Linked DNA regions of Rattus norvegicus. The protein of the gene in region 1 interacts with the protein of each later gene in a biochemical or structural test. Links are inferred from orthologs where the notes say so. Each region holds a gene or a part of one and is shown on either strand. Other genes may lie near its edges.

Region 1 (4,962 bases):
AAGCTTTCTGAATAAAATCAGTGTAGCAACTTAGCTTTACTAAAGCATGTTTTACATTGAAAAGCCTTAATGGTGAATCTGAGGACCTAGTTCATTTCAAAGTTGTATAAACTGGTTATCTTGACTAGTCATTTATTTGAGTTAAAGTTATATAGTTGATAAAAGCCAGTGTCCTCTTCTCTGCTTCAGTTATGAGAGACTACTTGACTACCTGGTAAAGAAAACCAGGAAACTGTAGCATGCCATCCTTCAGCAGTTGGTCACAAGCCTTTCCTGAATGTGTACCATGTGGCAGGTACTGTGTTCTTGTTGCAAAATGGACAACTTGTGTAGTCTTGTGCTTTACACAAACTTGCAGTCATGGAAAGATGCAGATGTGTGAACTGAAAAATAGCAATGCAGTATGGTAAGGTGCAGTATAATGGCTGTGGTGGCATCCCTTGGGGCTGTTGAAGAAGTGGGAATTCTGCAGTGGCAGGAAAGGGCTGGGAGAAGGTGTGCAGATGCCGAGCCAAGGAATGGGATGATGATGGCCTTATATTCCTTGTTTTCTGAACTTATTTTCTAGGCTTGCACTCTACCATCTGTTTCTGAAGAACTTGTTTTATGAATTTGTAGTAAGTGTAACAAAGATGCTAAGTATGAGGAAGAGGGCAAATGCATTTTGGTTAAGTGAACACATGACTCCTGTTTGTAGAATTCTCAGAGCTTTTATAAAGTTACTACCAGATCCTGTGACTGTAGAGGGTTAGGCTAGGCATAGCATGTAGTGTTTCTCTGCTTGACTCTGTACCAACATTTTCTCTAAGAACATCCAGGGACACAGTCTTAAGGTACGTTTGTGGAAATCCTGAGTTTTAAAGTGGGATAAGATGTGATTGGATTCTTAATTTCTGGGGAAACTGGAAGGAGTGCATGGTGTGTCTGAGACAAGAGGGGAGGCAGGCACCCTGAGGAGCTGTTGTTCCTGGAGGTCAGCAGAAGCGTGATGGAGTCTGAGGTAGAAGTGGCACAGGAGGCACAGCTTTAGAGACTCAGGCACGGTAGTGCTGGAGCTGTGAGCACAACGTTTAAGGCGCTTACCGAGGAGCTAGCTCCGTGTTTCTAGCATGGGGCCGTGGGACTCAGGATGGAGGTGTAGGTCACAGTCTCACTTGTTTATAAGCGCTTTCTACTCTGAACCTCTGGCTGGCTTTTGTTTTGAGCACCCATCTCTGCTCAGTACAGGGTATAAAATGTCCTGTGTAAGTTAACGGATCTGTTCTTGTCATCCTGTGCAGGAAGGACCTAGTCACAGTGCTGAAGCTGTGTCAATTCAGGACGCCATGAGTGTGGAAGAGGCTTCTGGTTTCCATCCACTGGAGCCAATGCTCTGCAGTGAAACAGAGGACGGGCAGGTGCCACATTCCCTAGAGGCCCTGTACCAGTCAGCCGGCTGCTCCACCGTCAGTGATGCCTTGATAGTGCTGGTGCATCTCCTTATGCTTGAGTCGGGCTACATACCTCAGGTAAGTGCCACCCGAACCTCTTAGGGCGTGGGGTGGTGTGAATACACTTGGCCCAGGGAGTGGCACTATTAGGAGGTACGACCTTGTTGGAGGAAGTGTGTCAAGGTGGGGTGGGCTGGGAGACCCTCCTCCTAGCTGCCTGAGGATGGTCAGTCTGTTCCTGGCTTCCTTCAGGTGAAGATGTAGAACTCTCAGCTCCTCCTGCACCAGGCCTGCCTAGACACTGCCATGCTCCTGCCTTGATGATAATGGACTGAACCTCTGAACCTATAAGCCAGCCCAAATTAAATGCTATCCTATAAGAGTTGCCTTGGTCATAGTGTCTGTTTAGAGCAGTAAAACCCTAACTAAAACATGAGACCTCACTAGGCACCTCAGTCACTAGGGCATTGTGGTGGTCCATCTTTCTTTACTAAATGTGATTGGTTCTTGAATATCAAATGTCAGAAATAGTAAGGGGTTGTCACAGGTACTCAGTAAATGCCCTTTGCAGCTTTCCTTCTTTTCCCATCATTTCCCTTGTTAGCATTTAGTATTACAGAGAGAATGGCAACTGGTCCAAAAAAAAAAGGACACAAGGCCTGTGTGCATACGGTCATGTTGAGAAGGCCTGTGTGCATACGGTCATGTTGAGAAGGCGTGTGTGCATATGGTCATGTTGAGAAGGCGTGTGTGCATACGGTCATGTTGAGAAGGCGTGTGTGCATACGGTCATGTTGAGAAGGCCTGTGTGCATACCGTCATGTTGAGAAGGCCTGTGTGCATATGGTCATGTTGAAATAAAGTGGCGGCAGTGGGGACGCGTCTGACCAGATGCTGGCTGACCAAGGTCTCACGCTCACGGCCTTGTGCTGTGGTTGCTTTCCTTCATTAACTTCATTCAGCATGGCTTCGTGCAGCATCTGCTGATGCAGTGAGGTGATTTCCTTCCTGCTCTTAGCTCTCTGTTTCCAGTTCCTGATAGTCTGAGAATAGACAAGGGTTTAGATCATTTTAGTTTATTGTGTAAGTTCTAGGAGAGACATTTGCACATGCGGAGTGCCTGGGACTCTGAAAGAGCAGTTAGAGGAGAGCTGAGGAATACAGGGACCGCATTGGAGCACAGATTCTGACCTAGTAAGCTCAGGGTGGGGCTGAGCGTCTTGCGTACTCTGGCCTGTCCCCTGTACTGCTGGCCTGTACACATTCCTTGTGGCCATGGGATGGAGTACAGAGATGAGGAGTAGCCCAAGACCATTGTGCGCCTGTGCACACTGTACGCACAGGCGCACGTTTCTCAGAGTTCACAGATGAGCACAAAAGACCAGATAGATATAACATACTACAAATAACAGTGTAAATTGACAGAGCACTACAAATATGCAGTGACACAAATGTGAACAAAATGTTAGAAAATGACTTTTCTGGAAAAGGGCTGTATGAGGGAAATGCTGTTCTCCCTGCGGTCTTGAATAACGAACGATTTGTCTTTGCTAGGTAGAAAATGTGAGTCTTAGAAGAGAAAAATTAAGCCTTATTTCTATGATGTCATTGTATATTAAAACAAAAATTTTGATAGACAAATATTATAACCTATTATCCTCCTAGTAGCAATATTAATGATGTGCATATTCTGTTAAGGGGGCTATATGTATCTTTTAAAAAATGTGTATGATGTGTGTGTGTGGGGGCGTGTCATGCGACATAGCATGTGTGGCAGGCAGGCAGCAGAGTTCCGTGGACTTGGTTCTCTGCCTTCTTTCCTTTATGTGGGTTTCAAGGCTCCACCTTGGGTGATGGCTTCTGTGACAGACACTTTACCTGCTGAGTCATGTCAGCGGCTCAAGGGGGCTACATTGCACAGTAAGTTAGGGCTGTTACTGATTTTCAGGTTTTTCAGCACAATACCTTTCTTCATTATTATTCTTTCATCTCATTCCTCAGGGGACTGAAGCCAAAGCAGCATCCATGCCTGAGAAATGGAAGTCAAGTGGCGTATACAAGCTCCAGTACACACATCCTCTCTGTGAGGGCGGCTCTGCCGTGCTTACCTGTGTACCTTTGGGAAAGCTCATCATGATAAACGGTAATGGAGCAGAGCGTCATGCTGGCGCCTTGTGAATTAAGTACTTTATTCCTAACAGTCTGTAGCCACTCGAGTGGGTGCCGAGTCATTCACATCTTAATTACTGTATGCCTGAAGACTTAAAATTAGAGGATGTTGGTTTAGGACAGCACCCTTCACTTTTGGGGTAGCCTCCTTGTTCTCTTTTTAAATGTCTGTTATAGTTTTACTTTATGTTTTGAGTGTTTTACCTGCATTTGTGTCTGTGCATCATCTCATACATATGGTGCCTGTGGAAGCCAGAAAAGGTGTCAGATCCCTTGGAATTGGTGTTAAAGATGCTGCCAGCTTCCAGGTGTGTGCTGGGAATTGAACGAGGGTCCTCTGTAAGAGTAGCCAGTGCCTGTAACTTAACTGCAGAGCCACCTCTCCAGCCTCAGCTTTTTTGTGATGTGTCAATCTTTGATCCCTTTGTTCTGTGAGCTGTGGTAGTAGAAATGAGTGGGTTTTACTGTGGATGAACTATTGGAGTAGGTTTTTGTGCACATCTGTGAATGTCTCTTCTAATTACCTTCCTTAGCCTCTAACCTGTGGTGAGGAAGTCGGCATCTCTGAACTGCTGAGGTTTTGCAGCCATGGTATGCACAGTTTAGCTGCCCGTCCTCACGGAAGTCCTCTGAATGACCTCTCTGCTCTCCCCTTTCCTAGAGGGAAGCTGCACTGAGGTGGCAGTGTGTTTCTGGATCATGTTAGTCATGATGTCACACAGGTCCTTCCCAACCACCACTGCTTTCTGGAATGTTCTCCTGATCTCACATTAGGAGATCCATTTGGGTGACCAGGATCTTACATTTCAGTCTGATCTTTTTTTTTTTTTTTTAAATATATTTTTGAAATTGGGTCTGTATACCCTAAACTGAGCTCAAATTCTTTATGTAGCCGAAGCTCTGGGGTGGTGGGTGACTCCCACCTCACTGGGCTAACACTGTTTGGGTTTTGAGGTCATCCTTTTCAGATACTTAAGCTAGAAGAGAGTGCGGTAGATTGTGCTGTTTGTGGATTGTCTTGCTTTGCTGCCTTGGGTGAGGTTTGCACTGCTCCTTCAGCTGCTGTTCTGTTGAGATGACGTTTACTGAGGTCCAGTGTTACAGAACAGCCTTGTACTAAAATTTATTTTAAACGCTAACATTGCCTTTTTGCCTTTAGAATTAGAAGTTAATTCTTTGGTCCTCTCATGTAATTTTTTCGCTCATTTCCTTTTAATTGTTCAATTTTCTTAGCTGTTATAGGATTGAGCCTATGATTCTGCACGTTTGTCAGAATGTGGCTGACGGCTTGAGAGCCGAGTAGTGTCTGTTCGTTCTCACAGCTACTTTGCATAGCTTGCAGTTTGGCTTTTGTGCCCAGAGT
Region 2 (4,003 bases), on another chromosome or scaffold:
TCTTGAGTTCTTTGTATATTTTGGATATAAGGCCTCTATCTGTTATAGGATTGGTAAAGAACTTTTCCCAATCTGTTGGTTGCCGTTTTGTCCTAACCACAGTGTCCTTTGCCTTACAGAAGCTTTGCAGTTTTATGAGATCCCATTTGTCGATTCTTGATCTTAGAGCATAAGCCATTGGTGTTTTGTTCAGGAAATTTTTTCCAGTGCCCATGTGTTCCAGATGCTTCCCTAGTTTTTCTTCTATTAGTTTGAGTGTGTCTGGTTTGATGTGGAGGTCCTTGATCCACTTGGACTTAAGCTTTGTACAGGGTGATAAGGATGGATCGATCTGCATTCTTCTACATGTTGCCCTCCAGTTGAACCAGCACCATTTGCTGAAAATGCTATCTTTTTTCCATTGGATGGTTTTAGCTCCTTTGTCAAAAATCAAGTGACCATAGGTGTGTGGGTTCATTTCTGGGTCTTCAATTCTATTCCATTGGTCTATCTGTCTGTCTCTGTACCAATACCATGCAGTTTTTATCACTATTGCTCTGTAATACTGCTTTATACAAGCTTTCTTAATGGTTAACTTAATGTCTAACACTGACCGCTTCTCACAAAGCCCTTTTGTGCCTCTTGGTCTTTCTGTGCAAAAGACCTTTTCACTGCTTAACTCTCACTTCATCTTCAGTTCTATCTTATTCTTCAGACAGTTCTTCCTTGGTCCACTGTATTCATTTTCACTGATTGTATACATAAGGACTCTCTTAGATGAGACTTGATTCAAGCAGACTTGGACAGAAGGAGTTGACTGATTTATGTAACTCAACAGTCCAGGACTAGGGTGGTTTCAGGCACCTCCGTTTGCCCAGGTGTTTTTCAGCCTTTTCCTAGAGTCCTTTCTGGTACCACCTTCAAAATACCTTGTCCTGTCTGTAAGTGCATTGCCCAACAGCCAGGTGGATTCTTTTAAACCCTAATAAGTTTATTTCTCAAATCAATTTGCATTTGTCCTCCACTGTTAACCTTCTCGTTAGCACCTGATTTAAAGTAAAAGCTAAGGTCTTTGCCATGGTCCTGTAGACTTTCCACCTTCTGCCTCCTTCGCTTGACTTCAGCTCCTTCAATCCTCCTCTTTTTCTTTAGCCACAATGGCTTCTTGGCTGTGCCTGCACCATACCAAGCATGCTCCTACCTCAGCACTTTTGTATTGGTTCTTATTTGTGGTGGAACACTTATCTTCCATATCACCCCCACTAGGTGGGAGAGTTACACATCTGTAATCTCAGCAGTCTGGGCAGGAGGATCTTGAATTGGAAACCAGACTGGACTATATAGTCTCAAAAGGAAAGCTCTCAGTGAAGCCAAACCTGAACAATCTTCGAAACTGAAGCCTCCTCTTTCTACCTCTTCTTTAGTATTTAGTTCCTTATACTATTTATTTCCTTATACTTAACACATCATAATTGTGTTTGTATACTTTGTCTCTTAGTAAATGGCTTAGTGCTTAAGTGTACATACTGCTGTCCAGAGTAACTGAGTTCGGTTCCCAGCACCCATGTCAGGTAGCTCACAACCACCTGTATCTACAGCTCAAGGAATCTCATATCATCTAACATCTGTGGAAATCTACATTCATGGTATATTTCCCACACATATAACACAGATAATTAAAAACTAAAAATAAAGTTTTTTAAAGGAGCTCCAGGAAACCAAGAATTTAGTTTCATTTACTGCTGTTTCTGCTATTTCCCTATTTTAAGTTGCCTGGCATACAGAAGGCATTCAATAATCTTCCCTTCTTATCATCATATAGTCATTGTGATGGGTTTCATAAAGAGTTTCTTTCAAGTATATCACATAATTTGATCGTATTCATAGACCCATACCCCCACTTCCTTCATCCCCATAATCTTTTTTTTTTTTTTTTTTGGAGCTGAGGACCGAACCCAGGGCCTTGCGCTTGCTAGGCAAGCGCTCTACCACTGAGCTAAATCCCAAACCCCTCCCATAATCATTTTTTAACAATTGTTACTACATTTTTTTCTGAGTACATGTGAAGGTTTAAAATCAGTTCTCTCCTCCACTATGTGGATCCTGGATATTGAAATCAAGTTGGCCCTATCACCCTTGATCTTTAAATGGGGAAATTCCAAGAGGTAGCCAGACATCTCTGCATAGGATCAGGGCAGGTCATCCAGGATACAAGCGTTTCTTGAAGTGATGAGGAAGAGTCATCCTCACAGCCTTAAGTGGGGCCCATTTTGCCCTTTCTTGTTCCTTTTTTTTTCTAGGCTCAGCGACAGCCTCACCAAGGACTCCATGAATATCAAGGCCAATATCCACATGATGCTAGAGGTGAGAGCAGCTCACTCCACTCGACCCTTCAAATATATTTAGGGTGATAACCTGAAGACAGGAGAAATCCAAAGAAGGGAGGGGTCATCTTTCCTTCTAAATTAAAAACCAAAGGAGTGAAAATCAGAGCAAACCTGGGACAAGACCTAGACCCAGCCTCTGTTCAGTATACTTTGTCCTCTTTTACAGGGACTTAGAGAACTACAAGGCCTGCAGAATTTCCCAGAGCCATCTCCCCATTGACTGCATCTTCCCAGCCTCCAATATTAAACAGCCTGAATGCCTTGGAATCACATAGCCCTTTTTTCCCCTAATTTTCACTAATTGACTAAGTGCTCCAGAGACCAAAATTACTGGAAGACCCATCCTTTCTGTTGAACCTCTAAAACATTCTTGCCTTTAGAACATCTTGTATTTTCCTCCAGACTTTATGCTTTACCCTCTTTTGTCACCTTTCGAACCTTGACACTGCTCCTCACACTTTAATTCCTTTTCCTAGATATTTGTATTGGTGCCCTTTGTATTACCATAAAGAATGGACTGATTGGTGAGCTGAAGATGAGATTCAATTGGTAGAGTGCTTGCATATCACACATGAAACCTTAAATTCAGTCCCCAGTTCTGTGTACACAAGCTGGATGTGTGGCACACCTGTGACCAGGTCACTCAAAAGATAGAGGCAGAAGGATTTTTAAGTTTAAGGCAATCCTGGGCTACATGAGACCCTTGAAACAAATTTTTAAGGTTCCAGTTCAAAGTGATTTGTTTCCATGGCCCTCAGCTTTTTACTTCATATCCTAAGGGTTATTATGGTTTCACAATCCAGTGGTCATCCAGGTACCCTAAATATCATTACCACCCAACCCTTAATTTGGTCCCTAAATAGTGGTTCCAATAGTTCTAAATAGTTCTAGTTTCCACCCGTAGACAGATCCTGCCCTCCCTGCTACAGCCCCTACAGCCTAGGTTTTAGTCCAGTCTTAGATAACTAAGAACCAAATTCCATCTGTATAACTGACTGCAGCTTGCCTCTGCCCTTGTAGACAGTTAATTTCCACCTCTCAACTCCTCTGTATATCTGGCAGCCGCTCCTGCCTCCTCCCTCTGCTGGATTCTAAATTCGTCTTGCCTAGCTAATTACCATAGCTTTACCCTACCCGCCTACATAGCCCTACCCTGCTGCTATTCCCCTTTCTAAATAAGTCCTGTTTCCGCTGAACCGTTTGATGAGCAGCACCACCTACTTTTATGTTTTGGCCGCTGTCTGGGAGTTTCCACCAATCAGCTGAAAACAGAGCCCATCCAACCACCCCTCCATCCTCTGGGGCTGTCTGTCTGCCATCAATTCTCATTTAAGCCAATCGGTGTGAACTGGGCGACCTCCCTCGGCCCCGCCCCAACCTTGGCACTTGGCTAACCAGTCTTAGACCCAATCGGCATGAAGCACTAGCGCCGCCCAACACCTACGGATTCAGTCGGCTACCCGGCAGTCCATCAATCCCCTTTAAGCCTATCATGTCATAGCTCTGTTAGGATTCCAATACCACCGCCACCAGGCCCTGAAGCTGCGCTTGGAGTCTTGGCATTTTATCCAATCAACGAGCAGCAGAAGGCTTGGCTCCTCCCACGAGGGCCCACGTGAGCGCTGGGGAAACGCAGG

What was found.
Region 2: of the proteins of Fbxo7 (region 1) and Uxt, one has a biochemical effect on the other in vitro, tested with the Homo sapiens proteins (2 studies listed by BioGRID). The link is inferred for Rattus norvegicus from reciprocal best matches to the Homo sapiens genes FBXO7 and UXT.

Annotation. Positions count from the first base shown.
Region 1 is NC_086025.1:19,714,658-19,719,619, reverse strand, and holds part of Fbxo7 (F-box only protein 7), read left to right. Parts: intron 1-1,280; coding exon 1,281-1,508; intron 1,509-3,431; coding exon 3,432-3,573; intron 3,574-4,962. UniProt on the Homo sapiens protein: Substrate recognition component of a SCF (SKP1-CUL1-F-box protein) E3 ubiquitin-protein ligase complex which mediates the ubiquitination and subsequent proteasomal degradation of target proteins and plays a role in several biological processes such as cell cycle, cell proliferation, or maintenance of chromosome stability.
Region 2 is NC_086039.1:3,689,312-3,693,314, forward strand, and holds the end of Uxt (protein UXT), read left to right. Parts: intron 1-2,279; coding exon 2,280-2,343; intron 2,344-2,532; coding exon 2,533-2,586; 3' UTR 2,587-2,633; downstream 2,634-4,003. UniProt on the Homo sapiens protein: Involved in gene transcription regulation. Acts in concert with the corepressor URI1 to regulate androgen receptor AR-mediated transcription. Together with URI1, associates with chromatin to the NKX3-1 promoter region.